3 linked regions of the Lepisosteus oculatus genome follow. The protein of the gene in region 1 interacts with the protein of each later gene in a biochemical or structural test. Links are inferred from orthologs where the notes say so. Each region holds a gene or a part of one and is shown on either strand. Other genes may lie near its edges. The genes, in order: elk1, mapk9 and srfb.

Region 1 (7,272 bases):
TCAACATATTTCCATAAGCGGAAGAATTTCGAAATGGCTATAAGGCGTATAAGGATGGGGGAGATTGGAGACTGGCGTCTGGTTTACCTACAGTATTAGAGTAAGAAGTCAGAACTGAAAGCAAGATGGCAGTATTGAAAACATCTTGTAACCATGCTGGCAAGCTCATTCTCTCCCTCAACAAAACCTTTGCGTACTCTTTGTGGTTTCCCCTCTGACCGAACTGCGTCTACTGCGCCCACAACGTGCCTTAAGCCGTTTCATTTGACACACAGCTTTTTCAGATACTTTTGCTTAGCAGGAAGAAAGATATCAATGAATTGATCCACTGATAAACCGATCTGTCAAAGTAACACTGATACAGTCACCCAGGTCTTTACACACTCACACGTTTAAGACTCCCAAAGAAGATGAGCACTGAGCCAGTGGGGTTTTCACCAGCAGATGCAGGGAGAGTAGAGATTTATACAGAGCAGGCAAACCAGGGTCCCCCAACCCTGCTCCAGCCTGCTGGTGTTCCTCCCAGAATATCTTTCCTTAACTGAATTAATGAGTTCAACTGTAAACATTCCCCTGAAGGGTGCCTTTGCAGAATTTTCTTTTTCTGAGATGTTTTAACTCATGGGTTTAACTTATGAACTGCAAGGAGACGCTCTTGCTCCCCAGTATGATTAGGAGCAGAGGACTACTGAAGGTGTCCGGTGGATGCAACTGTCAGGCCAATCAAGAGTCTGATGCAGTAATGCAGAGCCCATCTGCAATGAAAACAAGCAGGCCCCTCAGCACCGGGGGATGTGTAACTGGAAGACTGCGGGTTCAAATCCTGGGTGGGACACAGCTGTCGGTACTTTGAGTGGCATATTTCGCCCTGAATTGCCCCTGTAAGAGACGCAGCTGTGCTGTGGAAGTGGAACTCCTTCGGGGCTCGACGGTTCAGGCCCGTCTACGCTTCGCAAGAGGAAAAGCTTTTGTGTCAGCCTCTTGCTTGACAAGAGCAAGCCAACAGCAACAACAGCAGCAAAGACAACAAAATAATACATAGAATAAATATTACATGTTTTTATTATATAATTTGGTATTAGTTCAGGTGGGTAGCTGCGTCAGCATGCGTAGGCTGCAAAGGAACAAGTAATAGGTTTATTCCATGCTGAAAAAAAGAAGAAAGAGAACACAACTTTTCGGCCGTGGAGCCTTCTTCAGGTGTGAGAGAGACAGGGCAGTAGGCAAAGGTAAAGTAGCGGGAGAACAAAGGTTGGGAGGGAGGAGGAGTGAGAGGCGGGAGCAGGGGACAGAAAGAGAGGCCATAATGTGGTATGACTGGTATAATATGGAATTACTCAAATTATATTAACAACCAAATATTATATATCAAATATAATAAAATAATACCTACAACAGTGTTACCACATGGTGAGTGGATTTTGAAAAACACTTCTGTTGTCAGAACAATTAAAAAAAAATCAGAGCACAGCCTTTATATTTTAAACTGAAACTGAAAAAACATCTTAGCTTAGAGCAAGCTTGGGAGAGAGCGCGATGCTTTGTATCCCTCTGAGTTACCACACAATTATTTGTCATTTTGGGGAAAAGGACAGGAAGGGAAGTTCACCTTTTTCAATTCTCCAAGCAGGTTCGGGGAGATAAGCATCTTAAAGGACGTCTCCGCGGTATTAGGGTTGTAATCGGACTTGGACGCTGCATTACCGCCCTCAGCCCGTACACACGCTCGGAGACACACGGGCGCACAAAACGTCAACAAGCCGAAACTGGTCATTAGAAACCAGCGGCGGGGTTTGAACCACAGCCATGAAAATTAAGTGATTGCACACCGACCTCTCAGAGCATTGGGAAATTGTTTACTTAGGTGTGTGTTCAGGTGAATTTAGGAGGGAATTTAAAATATAGAGACATCGGAAATAATCATTATACGTTATTTATGTTCGCTTTTAGGGGAAAACGTGGTGTCTTCAGCTGCACAGGCCAGTCTCTGGACACTGCTGGCCGGGTAAATGACTTTTGACTCTCGACTGCTTCGACATCCACGAGCTCTGGAACTGTAACGCGCGCGCCGGAGGCGGGGGGCGCTAGACTGGCTGTCGATGGTCTCGTCTCCTGCGCAGTCTTTCTTTTTTAAAAAAATAAATAAAACAAAGCTTTAAAAAAAAACCGTGCAACCCACGGCATTTTGCTCCGACACTGAAAAACCGTTCTGCTAGAAAAACCGATGCGCGACTCGAGTAAAAAAAAACAAACAGTGTGACATTTGAAAGTAGCAGCTACAACTCGCATCCAAGCCCTTGACAGGGGGAAAAAAAAAGTTTTGGTGCCAGTGCGCTCCTCGAGATCTAACCTACCAGGAGAGCAGCAAGTTTCCAAAGCGGGTGTTGGCGTTTATACGCGCGTAACTCTCGTTTATCCTGCCGACGTCTGCGCGGCGATGCTTGCAAGGGAATCACGGCAACAGACCTCTCGATTAACGGCCAGGAAGGCACCCGCGCACACGCTGGGCGATGACACTCCGCCGGGACACACGCCAAGCCCGGCCGCGGCGCAGCGCGCTAGCTGGGGCGGTCGATACGGTGTAGCCAAGCCTGCAGGCGCCGCGACACCACGGCCGCCCGTCCAAGCGCGGCGCTCCGCGGGCGCACTTACCACATAGCAGGGGGTTCGAGTCCATGTCTCAGGCGGCGGGGGTCCTGACGCTCATGCTGGAGGGAGAGGAGAACACCCGGCCGGGAGAGCGACGTCCACAAGTCGGTCTGGGGGCGAGAGGGTGGCGGGTGCCAACGGGCGATCGTCCAGCCCGATCCGGGGCTCTAATTATGTAATGACAGGGCTCCGACAAAGACCCGAGCCACCCCCATATTTCACCTCCGGACTTGACTGATGTGTGTGTTTGGGTTTTTGTTTTGGACGGCTTCACAGTCCTACAAGCAGCCACGGCGCATGCTGGCCTCCCATGTCCTCCTGCCCGGTCGCCGTGACGCCGAGCGCTGGCAGGTGAGGGTCTTTGGAATCGGCGAGGCTCGGAGTAGGAGACCCCCGTCTCTCTCTCTCTCTCCCCCCAGCCCCCCCACAACACACCAACCCCAACACCACCAGCACCGCCCCCCTTCCCAGCCGCTCTCCTCCGCTGCTCGCTCGGGTCCTGCTGTCGCTCCGCGAAGCGAGGTCACAACTCCCCGCCGCCTAGGCGCAACATGTCTCCGGGTACTCCGCCTGCTGTAACGGCGCTTGCTCTCGGCAGTCCATGACACGCGTGTCGGCCGCAAGCAAGCAGCAGCGGCGCCTCCCTCCCTCTCTCTCTCTCTCCGTCTACCTCAAGCGTCTCCAGTCCTCCCGTACTGTAAACCTCCGCGGCTGCGTTCCTCGCTTCCTGTTTCACAAACGCCTCGGCTGCGCTCGCCGCCTCTCGGCGCCCCCGCCCCCCTCTGTCGCCGGCGAGCGCCTGCAGAGTGAGATGTCAGCGTCACAGAACCCGTGACGTCAGCTATTTCCAGTAAAAAAAAAAGGAGGGGGGGGGCAGCAGCCAAAGACACCGTCACCCCCGCGAGCTGCTGCTCCGTCTAGTTCGTCGATACCTTTCGCTTCGATCGCGAATCCGTTCACAAAACATTCCCGCACAGAAATGAAATGCCAATTACGCTGAACTGCAGGTCGCGGGGGTTAACGGTGTTCGCCTCGCTGAAGCGACACAACGACGACGTCAGAACCTTGGCATATGTTGTATTTTAGAAGTGAAATACGAAATGTTACGTTATATTTCACAATGTGGGGGCTGCACACTGGTGGTGGTGGTGGAGGGGGTCCCCATTACCTGTAAAGTGTCGGCAATTATTAATTACTCCAAGTGCAACCACAGACTGCAACGCTTTCTCTATAAATTGCGTGAGGTGACACGAGTCTTATGATATAAAGCCTAAAGTTCAAACAAATAAAGATGAGATAAAAATAAACGCATAAGCCTCATACATTTATAGTGTTATTAATAATAATAATAATAATAATAATTGCTTACACTTATATAGCGCTTTTCTGGACACTCCACTCAAAGCACTTTACAGGTACTGGGGATCCCCTCCACCACCACCAGTGCGCAGCCCCACCTGTATGATGCGCCAGTATCACCACACACCAGCTCTCAGTGGGGAGGAGAGCAGGGTGATGAAGCCAGTTCAGAGAGGGGGATTATTAGGAGGCCATGATTGGTGAGGGCCAATGGCAAATTTGGTCACACCCCTACTCTTTTCGAGAAGCACCCTGGGATTTTTAATGACCACAGAGAGTCAGGACCTCGGTTTTACGTCTCATCTGAAGGTCAGTGCCTGTTTACAGTCTAGTGTCCCCGTCACTGTACTGGAGCAGTAGGACCCACACAGACCGCAGGGTGAGCGCCCCCTGCTGGCCCCACTAACACCTCTTCCAGCAGCAGCCTTAGTTTTTCCCAGGAGTCTCCCATCCACCTGCTGAGCTCCAGGGGGCTGCATTATCATGTCGTTTTCCAGGGAGGAGAAGGACCCGTTTCCTCTTCCGTGACTCCGGCCTGGGCGGGACAGGGCAGGGGGCTTGCGAATCGAGGCACTGGACCAGCGAGGGCGGTCTCGTACAGTAGCGCCACCTTCCATCTTGCAGCGTGCAGAACGGACCCCTCCTTCACTCCCTGACTGAGGGCGGCCCGCCGGGCAGCCCAGACGCACCGAAACACGACCCGACCGGAGGAGGCAACACATTCCGAAGGGTCTCTGCCCCCCCGCCCCAAGCCGGCGAGCCGCTATCCCTGGTCTGTGGGGTTCATCGTGGGGCGCCTGAACCGAAGGCGTCGCATGGCTGTTGAACTGCTTCGCAGACGGGAGATGGCTGTTTGTGAGACCCGGCCTGTTCCAAACTGCAGAGCCGTGGGCAGGCGAGGGCCGTGGGTGTCACGGACGTCCAAAGGGACTAACCGTGGGGAGCAGGAGAGCGGAAAAAGACCCATACGCGTAGCGGCAAGACGGGAAAAAGGCCCGGGCTCATTAGTGCAAAGAGTTCAGGAATGCCGTATAGAAACCTATGCCCTCAGGGAGCGGACGTGGGGCGCCCTGGTGCTAGGCGGGTCTCAGGACATCCGAACGTCAATGCTGAGCCAGGACAGAGTGCAAGACCCGGAAATATATAGCCCAAGGGAAAGAGAGGGACCGGAAGGACAGCAGACCGGAAACTAGGGACAGGACAGAGAAGGAGCGCCCTCTGGCTGCTGAGGGCGTGACAGTGGGTTCTAAATCTGGTGAGGGGACCCCCCCGGCCAGCCCTGAAGTGCACACCCGCCAGCTTGCGCGAGTCAGTAGCGGACTGGGGGAGAGGACTGACCGAGCGTCTCTCGTCCTCCTGGAGAGCTCCAGATGAAGCGAGGTCATGCCCCCTGAGTGCACTTATTTCTGATGTGATTGTGCACCATGTACGTTCACCAGTTCAAGTGCTGAACATGCAACAGGTCAGGCAGCCTGATCAGCTTGAACGTCGCCCTCCGCTCGTGCCCTGATCGATAATGAAGGGTCAGGGCTCAGACCTGGAGCAGGGCGGAAGGGAGACGGCGCTAACGGGATTCGGGTCGCAGTTCCGGTGTCGCTCCCAGTGTCTGCTCGCAGGCCCGGTCGGGTTCTGCAGCGAGACGGGCAGGAGTGCCGGTGCTCGCGCGCGCGAGGGGAGCGCGGGGGCGTACCTGCGCGCGCCGCGGAGCCGGTCTATTTCGGGGCGGAAGTCCTTTGTTGCCACCCGCGATGCGGCTCCCCGTTTCCACGGCAACTGCGAGCTCGTGCCAGGGGACGGCCACCCCTTGGAAGGCTGCGAGCGACGTCTCGCGAGCAGCGCGCCCCGCGCTCAGTCAAAAACAGCTTCGCTCAGACTTTTTATTATTTTATTACCCCGAAGCGTTTTCTTTAATAATAATAATAATAATATACTTACACTTTTATAGCGCTTTTCTGGACACTCCACTCAAAGCGCTTTACAGGTCCTGGGGATCCCCTCCACCCCCACCAGTGTGCAGCCCCACCTGGGTGATGCGCCAGTACACTCCCCACACACCAGCTCTCAGTGGGGAGGAGAGCAGAGGGATGAAGCCAGCTCAGAGAGGGGGGTTATTAGGAGGCCATGATTGGTAAGGGCCAATGAGTAATTTGGCCAGGTTACACCCCTACTCTTTTCGAGAAACGCCCTGGGATTTTTAATGACCACAGAGATCAGAACCTCGGTTTTACGTCTCATCTGAAGGTCAGTGCCTGTTTACAGTATAGTGTCCCTGTTGCTATACTGGGGCATTAGGACCCACATAGACCACAGGGTGAGCGCCCCCTGCTGACCCCACTAACACCTCTTCCAGCAGCAGCCTTAGTTTTTCCCAGGAGTCTCCCATCCAGGTACTGACCAGGCTCACACCTGCTGAGCTTCAGGGGGCTGCCAGTTGTGAGCTGCAGGGTGATATGGCTGCTAGAGATTCTGGAGTAGTAATATAATTTCTCTAAACTGGTGACCAAACCGTAAGAGTTGGGATTTCCAAATTTTTACTTTTCACATCAAAACGCCTTATTCTGTAGTTAAAACAATGGGCATCCTCTGAGTGTTTGCACAGCCGTCATTGGTCCTTCAGCACAGTCACCAAGGCTGAACAGCAGTGCTAATTTGTAACTAGGACTAAACCCATCGCAGTTGAATCATTGCCAGCGCTTTTAGAACATCACTAGAGAACACAGTATACAAACACACACACACACACACAGAGGCAAAGCAGAAACACAAGTGACCAAGAGGAGAAAGGATTAGAGCCCACTCCAAGCTTCTTCCCTGACAGAACCGGAACTGTAGAAACTTCCAGGTATCTTGAGCACTACAGAGACCCACTCTGGGCCTTAAGTGAGAGACTGGTTTATATATGTGGAAATACCGATTTCCTACAGGCAGTACCCACCAGGGAAGAGGCATTTTTCTTAGCAAGGCATTTTTTAATAGAGAAAAACTGTAAGTTCCTGTTTGTTTAGCATCTGCTTCAGAGAGACATTTAGTCTGGAGTAGGTTCTTGTAGAAGATGAGACACGGGTTCTCTCTTCCTCTTACAGTATTTGTGCTGCAGCTGAGAGGTGTTTTTCTGTGCCTGTAGAAAGCACCACTCCAAGGCTCTCAGTAGTGTAATATTTGTGTGTATGTATGTGTATTGTCTGTAAATATTTGTGTGTTTTTTAAGTGTGCTGCCTGATTATTATGTTGTTTCCACACTGCGCTGGAGGAACAAAGATAACA
Region 2 (7,374 bases), on another chromosome or scaffold:
AAATGCATTATCTCAAGCTGAAGTATTGCAAAGTTGTTATGATGAAGCTTTTAATAAGTGAAATGCAAAGCAATGAGACAGTAGCATAACAGACATGGGCTCTTGCTGAGCAGAAGTGTTTCGATATGACAGGAAAAAAGGACACTTGTGGAAAGAACTCTATAATAATTGCTTACACTTATATAGCGCTTTTCTGGACAATCCACTCAAAGCTCTTTACAGGTAATGGGTACTCCCCTCCACCACCACCAATGCGCAGCATCCACCTGGATGAGGAGACGGCAGCCATAGTGCGCCAGAACACTCACCACACACCAGCTATCAGTGGGGAGGAGAGGAGAGTAATGAAGCCAATTCATAGATGGGGATTATTAGGAGGCCATGATTGGTAAGGGCCAATGGGAAATTTGGCCAAGACGCCGGGGTTACACCCCTACTCTTTTCAAGAAACACCCTGGGATTTTTAATGACCACAGAGAGTCAGGACCTCAGTTTTACGTCTCATTCGAAGGATGGTGCCTGTTTATAGTATAGTGTCCCCGTCACTATACTGGGGCATTAGGACCCACACAGACCACAGGGTGAGCGCCCCCCTGTTGGCCCCACTAACACCTCTTCCAGCAGCAACCTTAGTTCTTCCCAGGAGGTCTCCCATCCAGGTACTGACCAGGCTCACACCTGCTTAGCTTCAGTGGGTTTCCAGTTGTGAGTTGCAGAGTGATATGGCTGTTGGCAACACTAGATAGATTATTTAAAAAAAAACTTGGGAAGGATAGAGCATGAGACTTTATTTAATAGTACTACTGTATGTGGTACTGTAGAACACATTTATGAAAGTTAAGCAAATACAGGTAAATCAGGTACATTTTCTAACCACTTCTTCCAATTCAGGGTCACAGGGAACCCTGAGACAATCCTGGCAAGCAGCAGGCGTAATGTGGGGTACACACTGGAAATTAAATATATTCCCAAAAGCCAATTTACGTTGTTAGAGTAAAAAGAAACCCACGCAAACATTATAAAATCCACACAATAGCACCTCAAATCTGGAAAGGAATCCTTGGCCCCAGCCCTGCGATGCAACAATGTTCACTACTGCGCCATGGTATAATCCTACATGTAAAACTCCTCTGATTCACTATTACATGCCAAAAGACCTTTCATGAAACGTTCAGCTGATTTTCTACTGCACATGAAACTGACAAGATTGTAAAGCAATCTTAATAATACATTGGTATACTGTATTGTATACTTACAGTACATGTAAAACACCACTTCAGGTATGTCACATCCTATAAAACCTAAAAGTACCAATATACTGTAACAATGTTTATCTTTGGTATGTTTACCTCTTTGGTATGGACCCTTTAAAATGAAATGCAGACAGCAAATGTTAGTCAGCATGAAACAAAATGTTGCAATGTCATCCTTATAATATATTGTACTTTACATAATGCTCACAAACTCTGATTTCAACCGCTGCTTCTATACAAAAAATGATAACGTTTGTTCCTACAAAAAAAACAGCCACCTTCCCGTTCACAGCTAGCAGAGTTTCTAAACTACCCAAGGAGAGCAGGAATTTTATAGAAGAGGAGTGTTTAGTAGTGACACATTTAGTTAAACCGGTCTGAAGTGATGGAAAGTAATGGATAATTCATAGTTTTGCAAATTCAAGGACCAAGCGTCGCATCACCTCAAAGCATCAGCTGAAGTCCAGATTTCTGAAAACAAGTCTTTATGTTAAAAATATAATGATGATACTTATAGTTTTTTAGCACAGTAGGTGCTCAAACATTCCAACCAGTAAAAAGAAGAACAGCGCACTTACGTGACAGAACAGTAATAAGAGAAGGAAGCTAAAAAAAAGGCAGTGTAGAATCATGAAAAATGGCAACATGAATGCAGGCCTGGCCACGATAAGCCGGTTTCCAGACTATTGTAAGGTTCCACACCGAGTATTACCCGTATATCCGAGGAGGAAGTAGTTAGAAGGACATTGCCAATTAAGTAGCACTTGAAACAGGATAAATGGAGAATAATAGAGTCTCTGAAACAGTCTTAAATAAATGGGCGTGCCCCTAAGATAGCCAGGTATTCTTGCTCTGTATGTGGGCGAATAACCTGGGGTGTTAACTGCCTGCAGGTTCAAAAGCAATGGATGTCTAATGTCTAAGTAATTTGCTATGGTCTTTAAATAAAAGAAATCCCTCCAGTATTTGGCAACAGAGCACAGCTTCCCCGTAGCCTTTTCATTAGGTACTAACTTCAAATATTGCAGCTTCCAGCAGCCATGCAACACCATCGGCTTTAAACAAAAATCATCTGTCTCTGTATTTTTTTTATTTTAAAGCCTCCTGGGAACGATGAAGCTGTCAATTCCGCCCTAGAAGGCACATAGAGTTCCCGTACTCCATCATTTAATCAAATACCGACAGTTTGTAGGCTTTCTTTTTGCAGCTGGCAGCCAATGAGTCATTCTGGAGTAGTTTCATTGCATCATTACATACTCCCTCCAACAGCCTGTGTTTTAGAGTAAGACCACAAATTACAGCCTAGGCCAGATATGCGAAATATCCTACAGCAGGGAGGACCTGTCGTGTCAATTCCGCTTCTCGGTTAATATTCGGCCAATTCTGCAACTTACAAGCCCCCGGTCTGACTCAAGGGCCCGGTCTGCACCCGCCTCCCCTTTCACTTCTGGTAAGAACTGCAGCAGGAGCAGCGCATGCAAGCAGGCGAGCTAAATTTAATTACACCTACCTTCTCACTTCGCTTTCTCCCCACAGCACTCCCATGCACGACAAACCCAAGAAGAGGGGCTCCGGGGCTCAACATTCACGAAAATCCAAGGTATCCAAGGCGGATGCGTCAAATGGAGAACTCAGCTGTCAGCCGCGAAAATACACGGTCTTTCTTCCTAGATGCCGGATTTCTAGGTCCTGTCAATGGCATGACTGGGGCGGGGACTTGTCGGCACAACAACCCGACTGCGGGCAGGAAATATGCGTGACGTCATCACGCCAAAGCTAGAGTGTGGCGCGTCAGCAAAGCCAGTGGGAGCTGCGATCGTTTAAGCCTGTCTGGCGGCTGCCTGCTGGGGGTTTGTTGCAATGCGACCTGATTACCCTTCTTTCTAAAGTACAACTTTTAAAGTTTTAACAATAAAAAAATCTTTCGAATCCTAGGGATCCACATTGTAGTACCTCTGTAGACGGTGGCTTTCTGAATTGAAAATGAATACACTGTTTCTATAAAATGCTGCTGGAAATGCAATATGCTGTATACACTCATCACTGGAAATGGAAAATCACTCGAAAACTTGAAATATAAGCGATACATCAGTATTAATATGAATAAAGTATCTCCATCAAGATCGAATTCCGTGAGTTGTACAATTCCAAAAAGTATTCGGGCAGCATTTTTTTCCTACTGCTATAATAATAATATCATCATTATTATAAGTACATCGTCCACCCGTCCATTTTCTAACTGTTTCTTCCAATTCAGGATCACGGAGGAGCCGAAGTCTAAACTAGTGAGCAAGGGATGCAAGGCAGTTTACAAGGATACCTGTGCATCCCAGAGGAGACACAAACACACACTTACTCAAACCTGGGCTTAATTATACCCCAAAGCCAGTTAGCCTACCAGTATGTCTTTGGACTGTGGGAGGAACAGGAACATCTGGAAAAAGCCCACGCAAACACAGGGAGGGGGCATACAAACTCCACACAGATAGCACCCTAGGTCCAGAACTGAACCTAGGGCCCCAGTTCTGTGAGGCAGCAATGTTAATCACTGCACCACTGTGTTGCCTGCGTAAATATCTGTGTAAACGAAAACTTTACAATAACTGTACATGATTTTGAGATTTTGTGTTTAGTGTAGAAAGTGTTCAGTATAAAGCCACACATACACAATTTGAATTAATGTGGGGTGAAGTTATTATACAATTGATTCAGTATAAGGCACATTTGTATGAATTACCTACTAGATTTATTTAAATGTTTATGTATCAAATTGGTAGGCTTCCCACATAAGTGGTTTCTAATTGGTCTGGCTGGTTGGAGGAATTGGTCTTTCCACTGCTTTGTTATGCAACTGAAAAGGTTAAATTGTTTAATTGGGAATACTGTACTTAAGTACAAAACTGATGACACATGCCCTGCAATGGACTGGCTTCCTGTCTAGGGTGTATCCTGCCTTGTGTCATTGCTTTCCAAGATTTTGAGTTGCTCCAACACCCCTGCAACCCTGAATTTGAAGAAGCAGTTAGAAAGTGTTTGGATATCATGACAACAGTCCCATGGCAGAACGCAGGCATTGTTTATTTATTCAAAGTTTTAAGTAGTATACCTCCCAACCTTATGTTACATATGAAACTAGAGTTAAAATGGGCATATAACAGTAATTTGGATAAATAGCTATAATTGATACCATGTCCGTTCTGATGAATTTAGATGAAAAAATAAATTCTCTGTATTCTGTGTGTCAATAAATCTATCCATTCATCTTCTCACAACTTCTTCAAATCCAGGGTCATGGGGGAGCCATATCCTATCCTAGCAAGAAATGGGTACATGGCAGGGTATACCATGGATGGGAAGCCAGTCTATCATAGTGCAGACACACAGACACCAGTCCATGATAGGGAACACACAAAATGTCATTATATAGGTGCCTTAAATATGTACATTGAGATAAATGTGTTAAGTTCAAGTGTGCACGAATACTCATTTGTGTATATACCAATGGACAACAAAAAAAACAAAAGTCTGCACCTTATGTCTATAGCTCATTAGGTAAATACTGTACATTATTTCACTTTCATTTGAAACAGTGAGAGGATTGATTTGTTGGCTCTCTAATATTACCCCTTGAGAAAAAGTTCAGGTCAATTTGATTTTATAAATACCAGCTGCTCAGTGTTTGTCATTTTAGTTGAATTATTCATAATTGCCAGAATGGGTTGGTTAAGAACCCAGATACATATGCATTCAAAAAATAAAATTGTAAATTAAGGAAAGAGCAAAAACAGATACAAGCATGCCCTGTCCAAGTGATTGTGGGTTGATCTCTCCATGATTAAGGGCCAACCTGCTTAGAAAATGGGATGGTCTGCTTCAACTATCAGCAGACCCATTAGCAGGAAACAGGAAACTAGGTCTCAGTTGCACAAGATTAATACTCCAGCTCAAAACTAACACATCTGATTTATCTGCATAATCAGAGTTTGGTTTCTTTAGGGGACCCTGTACTTTTCTGAGGTTCTGAAATCTAATTTTAAGATCCCCCGCTCTATTAGGTATTTTTGGCTTTCGATAAATAATACAAGACTTAAATTAATAGGGATTATTTCTGATCCAATTACAGTTACTAATTACAAGTAAATATGGTCTAGTGAGGAGCTGCATCTTTATACCTCTACTTGATTTTAGGGAAATACAGTATATATGTAGCTAGTGCTGGCAACATGTAACTATACCACTTTGGTTAATAATCTCAGTCTGTTTAAGGACGTTCAAACCAATTAAACCAATTCTATGACAAGCATAAAGATATCAAACCAGGGCAATTTAAACATACATTTTATTTTGCCTTTTTCTAAACATTCATAGATTTTGAAAGTCCTCCATAATAAAAACATATAAAATATCTTTTAAAAGGCCATTGATCTTCATCTTTAAAAAAATACCCAAAAGCATCACTCACAGTTTTACGTAGCATGACAACACAATAACAATAATATACATGTCAAGTACTTTTGGTAAACAATAACAAACCACTTTGATTTTAGCAAGCCTGGAAAAATAATTTACCTTTTTATAAATTCATAAATAATCTAAAACACATGATACTAAGACATCTTTGTTAAAAGATTTAGCAGACTGGAATACATATCTGGGGCTCAATGCAGACTTGTGTTTTACAGTGACAATACTGCCTGTGCCAAATAAACTATAGCAAAGGCTGTTGTCAAATGAGAAGACATGTTTCATACCTCCTCACCACGGTCTCTGCAGCACATATATTCTGGATATAAATAAAGCTACATTAAAATACATACAGAAAAAGATCAATAGATCATGCAATCTGATGTTTCTTCACTTAATTTGGTATAATTATTGCATATATGAATCTTCTGACGATACACATCTCTCTGTGTATCGACTGAAAACAGTAAGCACTTACTTTCATTCTAGACCAAGTCAGGCCTTCTCTTGCTACAGTGGTTTGAAATTAAGGCTGGGGGTGTTCAACCTGACTCTTTTAGTTGTAGTGGAGGAGAGTGTTAAAGAATGTTACAGCATGGGAGTCACAGCATGGCTAAGCCTCTATCGTACAGAAGCTCCGCTTTATAGAGCACCATGTGCTTAAGGGTGGACCACTGCTTTTGATGTTTAAATCCTCAAGAAAACATGCCCACACTTGCTCCCATTATTGTACCAAAAAGCAGACTGATGTACGGCTACATATTGATTGGAACCTGTGAAAGTTTATGCCACTGAGAGCAGAGGATATAGGCGTTATACTGTATGTTATGAGATAGCTTTGCTTTTAATTTAGGATGTAATTTCTATTCTGAAATACATTAAATCCTTCCCCAAATTCATTCCCCTAAAATGTAGATCATCTGCATAAAACCAGAAACATTTGGCCCTCTTACATTAAATATTGCACAGTATTAATAAAATGTCAATCTAGGAACTACAAGTAAACATCACATTTTCTTTTCCTTATCACTCCTATGGCAACAGGAGTACATAAGGTTAAGGCACAAAGTAAATTAAAAACTGCATAGTGTTGCTACATTGAAGTGTCAATGTACTAGTTATTGCATTGGCTGGATCAAACCTTGTAAGTCCTGTATCAATTATAGTGCTGGAAGATAGAGAAAAAGCCTGATCCTAGAAAACTTCAATGATAGTCTGTTGTGTTTCAGTTTTATGTAATATATAAATACATGTAAATATCTATAAACATATGAACATACATATAAACACCCAAGACCGCAAACGTTCTTCTTCATTATCTTCCCTCCAATAATTTCCAGTTTGTTGAAGAATATTACTCCACTGTGACTGATTTGGCAAGATTCCGTGGACAGTCAACCTAAAATTTAAAGAGAAATAATGTTAAACATTGTTTCAATAACATTTCAAAGAAATAGTTTAAAAGATAGTTTTGTTTACAGTTTATGATGTGTACATTACAGCAAGTAGATATTAGGTAAATGGGTGCATTAGTGGCTAGATTTATGTGATAAAATGCTAAATACCCAATATGAACTGGTATAAACCCTTATTCAATAGAAGCATAAAGTAAAGATTCAATAATTAATTGGTCACAAGAGTAAATTCCATAAGGCTG
Region 3 (7,498 bases), on another chromosome or scaffold:
GTGACATTGAATTAATCAACATGTAATTAAACATCAGCAAAGTGTCTCTTGGGAATCAGCTCGTAGTGCCTGCTGGTCTGAGATTGAAATGCTCTTCCCTGAAGGACTATGTGGAAGTGCAGCAGAACCAGAGGGCCGGAGGGACTCCCGTCTCAGACCAAGGCCGGGCCGTGGGAGTGCTGCCGGGCCCTCGGATCAATCGGAGCCGGAGGAGCTGCGTGCGGACAGGACAGGGGCCACGCCGTGCTCTCACACGGGCCCTCGGGCAAGATGTTCTTCAAACTGCTGAGGGGACGTAGGGTGAAGAAACACCACGCAGGAAAGCGACTGTTAACAGATAATTACACCGCATTTCAGAAAAGAGCTCCGTTGCAGGCTGTGGAGCTGGGATCATTGTCGATAGTGGGAACGGGTCCAGAGCACAGAGAACAAGGACCGAGACCGCAGCCCATGCCACCTGTCCGCTACCTTCCGTGACGGAAACACACTTCCCCGATGCTCTAGCTTCGCCAGCCTCTGGCCAGGCAGCCCTTGGGGTCGCGCACACACCCGACCAGCAGCTCGGTACTACCGACACCAACACCGGCACAGGCCACAGGGAGGGGAGGGTGGGCACAGGGGTTGCCAGTTGCTCTTTTCTATTTAAAGCGCCTGCCTCTTGTTCTGAGCCCACCGTGTCCGCTGTAGTTTCCACCTACGGCGAAGGAGGGGGGGGGGCGCTCTCTCCCCTGACTGGAGGTCCGCACGTGCGCGGCGCCCCCCCCCCCCCGGTCACTAGTAAACACCGCCGGGAGCCTCGCGGCTACTCCAGCGCGAGCCCGTGTCAGTTTCGCTTCCCCCCCCCCACCTCCCGGCCTCGCGCGCTGCGGCAGCTCTCCTCTTCGTCTCTCCATCCCCCCCCCCGCCGCCGCCGCCTACTCCCCCGCTCTCCGTCGGTACCCCCTCAGGGAGACGGGCTCACCCCCGAACCCCCTGGAGGAGACACCCCCCCGAGAAACACCTCGGCAGTGCGAGAGCGGCTCCCCAGACGGCGGGCCGCGTTGTGTAATCCGCGCTCTGATTTCTCACTGGGCAGAGGCGGAGAGAAAAAGACAACCGTCCACCCCCCGGCACACGGATAAAAATAATTCAGGTGGAGACACTCTCCGATTCTGGGGATATTTTCTGCTGTTGCCGATAGGCCCACAACTCCCCCCCTTGCTCCATGTTTCTGTGTGTGTGCGCGGACGAGCGTGGTCTCTCTGGAAAGCGAAAAACAAAAACACAACAGATATCTCAGCAGGGTAGGTCTGCAGATTTCCAGAGGGCCGGGAAAGCGGTAAAGTCGGAAAGTAAAAAAAAAAAGTGAAGTACACTTCTTACAGCTCAGACACAACAGAACAGGCTCCGCGGCTACACACGGGCTGAAACACGGACTGGCGAAGTTTCTCACGACCGACACATGACGCCGGACGGAGCCCGGGCGCTGACAGAACTGGTCTTGGGAGCAGACGACGACGACGACGACTTCGACAACCCGGTGTGCCGTTTCCGACGGTGTGCTCGCTGGGCAGCTCATCCTTTCCCAGGTTTTACGAACTTGTTCACCGGACCAGACGCTCTCCCTGCTGCGGCGGCGGCGTTCCGGCTCCATCTCTCGACTCGCCCCGCTCTCAAGCCGCGGGGTCGCCCGCCGCTGCATCGTCGCTTAAAGCAACTTATACGCCAACCGTTAACTTCTCCAGCCCCGGGGGGGGGACAGTGCGAGGCCTCGCATCGGGGGGGAGTGGGGGGATAGAGGACGGGACTCGTTAAAAAAAAAAAACTTCCCCCGACACCTCCACCGGCCGCGAACTTGGCAGGGCAATCTCGTTACTCACCTTCTTCATGATGCCCGTCTTCCGCTTGCTGAAAGTTGTGTACCGCCTCAGCTTGTTGTCGATAAACTCCATTTTGATCTTGACTCGCCCCCTGGTCTTCTTCCCCGGCTTCGCGCCGGCCACCCCGGCGGACACCCCGCCGTATGCCCCCGGCGGCACGCCGGTCTCCTGCCCGGCGCCGGCGGCTTCCATCTCCGCCCGCTCCCGCTTCACCCCTCTCCTGCCGTCCCCGGCCGGACCCAGGGGGTCGTCGTCATCCCCGGAGTCCGAGTCGGCGTCCGAGCCGCTGTACACCTGAGGCGTGCTGTCCCGCTCGGGCTCGTACCTCCCGGCCCCGTGCATCCCGACGGCGGGCGTCACTCCCCCGATGCCCCCTACTCCAGTCCCCTGCAGCCCGGCCAGCCCTGCCCCGTTGCCCGGCCGGGACCCTCCTCGGGAGCCTCCCCCTGCCCCGTTGCCCCCCAGCATCCCTGCCCCGTCCCCCGACCGTCCCACCCCGCCGCCGTTGCCGCTGACCCCGGCCGCCACTCCGATTAACCCCGTCCTGCCCAGACCCGGGCGCAGCGCGCTCCCGGCCGCCCCCGAGCTGTGACCCGTGTTGCCCCGGCCCGCAGACGACCCGTTTCCAGCTGGTGCCGACCCAGCCTGGCTCGGTAACATTATACTCTGCTGCCCCCGGGGGTGTCTTTAAAGAAAGCCAGCCGCTCGCTGGGGCCCGTGCGTGCTCGTCTTGTTACAGCAAAGCACATACACCGGCCAGCGAGGTGGTCAACGGGGGAAGGGAGGGAGAGGAGGAGAAGAAAAAAAAAGAAAACAGCGGTCCGGAAAGTCAGAAAGGCTCCGACGTCCCCTTATAACGGGAGAAGTTAAGTTTCAGAAGTGATGCTGCCCCCCATAAGACCCCTCACCCCCGGCTCAGTCAAGCTCAACCTCCTCTATTTCCAAAACTCGCTGCACTTTCTCCAAAAGGAAAACGCGGATCACGCCCTACGCATCACTCCGCCATGTCACGTAGTCCCCACATTAAAACACCGCCGGGGAGCCCGCCAGCGCGCCCGGGATGGCAGCCGACGCTCCTACCCGTCCTCCGGATCACCTAACTCGCTTTCAGACGGCGCCGGCGCCGAGGGGGAACCGGCTAAATTCGCTTATTTCAACTCGCTCCCCGTGGACGGATACCATAGGTAGCGATCTACTTTCCTCCATATAAAGAGATACAACGTTTCCTTTTATGGTGGCGGCTCTCCTTATTTGGTGAGTCACAGCGCCGCGCCGCCATTGGCCGCAGCCGCCCGAACCTGCGCCGCCATTGGACGCCAGGCGCCCGGTCATTAGAATAAATACCAAGATGGTTGCGCTCATCCCCCTGACGTCAGCGACGGGAGGAAGGCTGGTGGTCGAGTTTAAAGAGACAGGCACGGAGTTAAAGTCCCGAGTTAGCTGCTGTACAGTTAGGGGCTTTCACATATCACAGTGCCAACGGCTTGAGTTTCTTTCTTTTCTACTGCAGGGGCCTTATCAAACAAGGTTTTATGAACTGTAATTTATTCACTGCTGTATTTAATTTGTTCACTGTTGTACTGTACAAATAAACCATAATCCCTTGCCGATATACACATGGATAAGGGCTTCACGTAAGATCTTCTACAAACTAAGCTGTTGTGGTGGTATAGCTTGCCCCGTCATAATTATTGGTCTCCTTTTGTCACTTTACGGAAGGTCTTGGTCACTTTAGGTCACATGGAAATGGATCACTAGTTACCTGGTCCAACATTGGTTCAGCAATGACCTGTTCATCTTGCTGTGTCTGACCCCGTCCACTCATCAATTGTCTTCGCCCCGATCCTGATATCATGACCCCTGTTTGTGCTCTAACACATCCATTTCTTATTCCACATCTTCTTCTTATTTCCAGGCACAGGGTTTTCCAACACATGCTGGATATTCTGTAGTACATACAATGTTTTTTCGAATACATCGTGCATTCAGAGAGTATCAACAAACAGATCAGTGTAAGACCTCTAGGATACCTCTTAGAAAAACCTTTGAATATCTAGGAATATTTTAGAAAATGACAGAGCAAAACTATTCGTTTGGGATTTTATGTCACTATGGACGTGATATATACTAGCTATAAGAGTAATGCACTTCAAGAGTATTTTCTTCAAAGCCGTACATAACGTTTATAATCCAGAAAGAACACATAACTTTGATATATTAACATTAATGCAAGTTGAAAGATTTCACAGATTCCAAAAAATAATCTACCTCCAAATGAAAAGCAGTAGTATCCGGCAGAGATACACAGATTCAACACACAGATGAACTTTTCCTGATGGCATAGAAAAACAAGGAGGGATTGCTTTGTCTTTTCAAAGTGCCCCTCGTGCAATTAAAAGACTCTACAGGGAAGTAAGAAGAAATACGTGACCACGCCCTGTGTCTGCAATTAAATGCGCAATTAGTACATTTGCAACTTGCTGGATTGAATGGGTGTTCAGGAGAAGTATAAGTAATCATTTTTAAATAAGTATCATTTAACAGGTCGGATTTACTGCTCCTAACAAAGTAGTGAATGACACTATTGGAGATGGGTGATGCTCATACCTTCATGTCCGACTGCGTGTTTAAATATTAGATCAGTCACGAAGTTTTATCTCAGGTTCGTCGCGTCCCTCGTTAGTTCTCAACACCCTGGCGGTGAAACTGTAGCTGTTAAGCATTATGTGGCCGAACTGTTTAGGGGGTTTGAGCACTGCGTTTAAAACTGAACGGGACTAAAAAAAACACAGCTCTGTGCGTTTGCCGATGTTCCTAATTAGCGAGGGCCAGTGGGTGCAGACACCTTAGAACAAACCTGTCAGGCACTCCACAGTCTTCTCACTTCACTGTATCACCAACTCTTGCCAGGGTGGCTTGGTTGCTATGGAAACTGTTTAACTGGATGCTGCATTAAATTAGATTAGGCCTTGCTCAAATATGCAAGCCTAGATAACGGGAAGGCAGTCTTACCCATTTAACCAGCCCTGAAGAGGCATGATCGGCAGGGCTCGTCGTTCTTGGCAATTATGAGGCGCCCCTGTTGAGAGAGCTGGGCTTGTGGGTTTTAACTGCCGTGGCAGTGTCGGCGTGTCTGTATGATAGCAGGCAGGGCCTTTCCTGGGCTTGCTGTACCTGAAATTGAAGTAACTGTGTGTCCTTGTCTGTGCCTCCTCCAGTGTGAAAGAAATGAAACTTTTAAGCCCGTTAGTGTTTTGACACTCGGGTACGAGTTTCAAGTTTTTTTTTCTTCTTAACTTTCCTTTTAAAAATGAATCATCTGTTTAATGTTGTAAAAACAAACAAACACAATGCTGGACGGGTCTGGCAGTGTAGTTCTGTCCAAGGGGAAGCAGTACCTGTCCCGAGTCAGGAGACCTGCAGGACTCCCAGCTCCGGAGAAGAGCAGCACTTCTCCGGCCCCCTGCACACGTCTGGTCACCCTTCCTCCTTCCTCCATCGTCTGCAGTGCGGTTTGTGCTTCTCCTGGGGGGGGGGAGGACAGCCATGCCCTGTGTAAGACAGAAGGAAGAGTCTGGCTCTCCGAGAGGCCAGAGAGAGGGGTGTGTGGAGACATAACATCTGGATACCTCCTCAGCCGGTGCAAGTCCCCCCTGCCCCCCGCACACAGAGACCCCACAACACACAGGCCTGCTGCTTGGGATACTTCCAGTGAACGTCTTCATCCAGATCTTCTCCTGTCAGCTGGGACACCAGGCAGCTGCGGGGCGCAGCTGGAGGGGTCTGGGCCCGGAGTTTTCCATCTCAAGCTCTGACAGGAGCGTGGAGGCTGCCCGGCCCTGCGAGACACCACCACTGACGCCATGAGCCCAGGGAAGGAGAGGATACCGGTTAAAGACAGAGCAGGAGCAGGGACAGTGAAGAACCCTTGAAATCAGAACACGACAGGACAGAGTGGGATAAAAATAAGCCCAATTTGCATGTCAAGGAGAAGCATTTCACAAAAGCTTTAGCATGATCAAGGGTTACTGTAGGTGAGTCATCCATGACTAGTTTTTCTATAAACTCAGGTTTGGAACAGATTGGCGTCTGGGTGAGGGTACATTGTTTCTGTGGTAATGATCCTTTGTAGATCAGTGGATTGGAAGTCTTGGCTCTGCTGCCGCCGCAAGATGATAAAGCACACGGGAACCATCTGCGCAGTGCTGGACGCGCTGAAAAAAAATAGGTTCACTAAACGGTCAGGCCTGCCACACAGCCCAGAGTTCTAGTGTCTCACAGAGGTCTAAACTGTGAGGCTACTGTGATTTGAGCTGCTTTTCGCCTTTCAGGAAGCGCTGGTTCCTGATCGTAATTTATTGTCGTGCAGAACCCTGCTCTTTAAAATTTGTGGACTACATGATACGATCAGCCAAGAATGCGCTGAGAGGTTTTCAGCGTTAACATCAATAGCTGGGTATTTCTGCAGCTGATAGGGAAGTGTGTTTGGTGTTGAGCAGTTTTCTTCAGCCGAAAGGATTGTGGTTTCGGTGATGTCGGAGCTTCTTTGAAGCTTGCTTTGCCTGGAAAACCTTTACTCTTCAGCAACATGGTTTCAGGGAGCTTTAAATATCTGTCGCCCCTCCGGCTCCAAGAGTCTGCTGCTCCTCTGCGGTTGGCCTGTAAACTCGTCTTCTTGTCTTGCACACCCGTTCACCTACCCAATCCGGTTAAAATCCAGGAAAGGAAGTGATGCTAGAGGTCAAGTTATAGAGGGAGAAAAACCCTCCGTTCATTTGACAAACATTAAAAGGCTCAAGATGCTTCATATAATCCATCTGTTTGCTAACCAACATTGCTTCATCCAACACAGAGTCACAAGGCAGCCTGGGCCTACGCTGGCAAGGAGTGGGCACAAGGCTGGACAAACTCTGGACAGGCACACAGGACACAAACACACACTCACTCACACCAGGGCCAGTTTCTCCAGATGCCAGTGAACCTTTTGGTAGGTTTTTGGACTATGGGAGGAAACCGGAGCACCTGGAGGAAACCCACAAACTGAGGGAGAGCATATACCACTTCATATAACCGGCGCTCTGTACCGTATAAATCACAGGCCACCTAGTATCTGATGCCTTTTAGACACTGAAACGTGCACTTCATGCGTGAACATAACAAGAATTATAAGCCAATTTTAGGACAAAGAATAGCAGGGCCGGTTAGTGCAGCATGTGGAAAGAAATATTTTGTCTGTTCCCAGTAAAAGTGCTGTGATGATTCTGATGAAGGGCTCAGTGCCAGAGGAACGAGAGGACGAGTGAGGTGCTCCCCAGTCGCTTGGGTGCTGTGAAAAGGGAGGGAGGCCGGTGGCGAGCGCTCAGCTGTCTAAGGTGCCGCCCGGGACGGAGCACAGCTGCCGGCTCCTCTGTGCAGCTCAGAGAGGGCTGGAGGTGCAGGTGAGCCGGGAAGCACGTGGCAGTGAGGGTCTCCCTCACAGACCCCCTCCTCCGCTCGCTCCCACTCTTACAGAGAGACACAGCCACCTCCTTACCTCACTTACACACACACACCCAGTGGGCAACACCCCTCCCCATTGTCACCGTGGACAAACAACAGGCCTTTAAAAAAACGATGACAAAGAAACTCTTTACAGAATT

The links.
Region 2: of the proteins of elk1 (region 1) and mapk9, one has a biochemical effect on the other in vitro, tested with the Homo sapiens proteins (2 studies listed by BioGRID). The link is inferred for Lepisosteus oculatus from reciprocal best matches to the Homo sapiens genes ELK1 and MAPK9.
Region 3: the proteins of elk1 (region 1) and srfb form a complex in vitro, tested with the Homo sapiens proteins (2 studies listed by BioGRID). The link is inferred for Lepisosteus oculatus from reciprocal best matches to the Homo sapiens genes ELK1 and SRF.

What each region holds. Positions count from the first base shown.
Region 1 is NC_090697.1:76,536,579-76,543,850, forward strand, and holds the start of elk1 (ETS domain-containing protein Elk-1), read right to left. Parts: upstream 3,075-7,272; 5' UTR 2,678-3,074; coding exon 2,653-2,677; intron 2,644-2,652; exon of another isoform or gene 2,355-2,643; intron 2,126-2,354; exon of another isoform or gene 1,045-2,125; intron 1-1,044. UniProt on the Homo sapiens protein: Transcription factor that binds to purine-rich DNA sequences. Forms a ternary complex with SRF and the ETS and SRF motifs of the serum response element (SRE) on the promoter region of immediate early genes such as FOS and IER2.
Region 2 is NC_090706.1:23,084,277-23,091,650, forward strand, and holds the start of mapk9 (mitogen-activated protein kinase 9), read right to left. Parts: upstream 3,006-7,374; 5' UTR 2,764-3,005; intron 1-2,763. Other genes in the region: gfpt2 (glutamine--fructose-6-phosphate aminotransferase [isomerizing] 2), read right to left, coding at 7,072-7,116. UniProt on the Homo sapiens protein: Serine/threonine-protein kinase involved in various processes such as cell proliferation, differentiation, migration, transformation and programmed cell death.
Region 3 is NC_090712.1:6,300,903-6,308,400, reverse strand, and holds the start of srfb (serum response factor b), read right to left. Parts: upstream 3,073-7,498; 5' UTR 2,520-3,072; coding exon 1,860-2,519; intron 1-1,859. UniProt on the Homo sapiens protein: SRF is a transcription factor that binds to the serum response element (SRE), a short sequence of dyad symmetry located 300 bp to the 5' of the site of transcription initiation of some genes (such as FOS).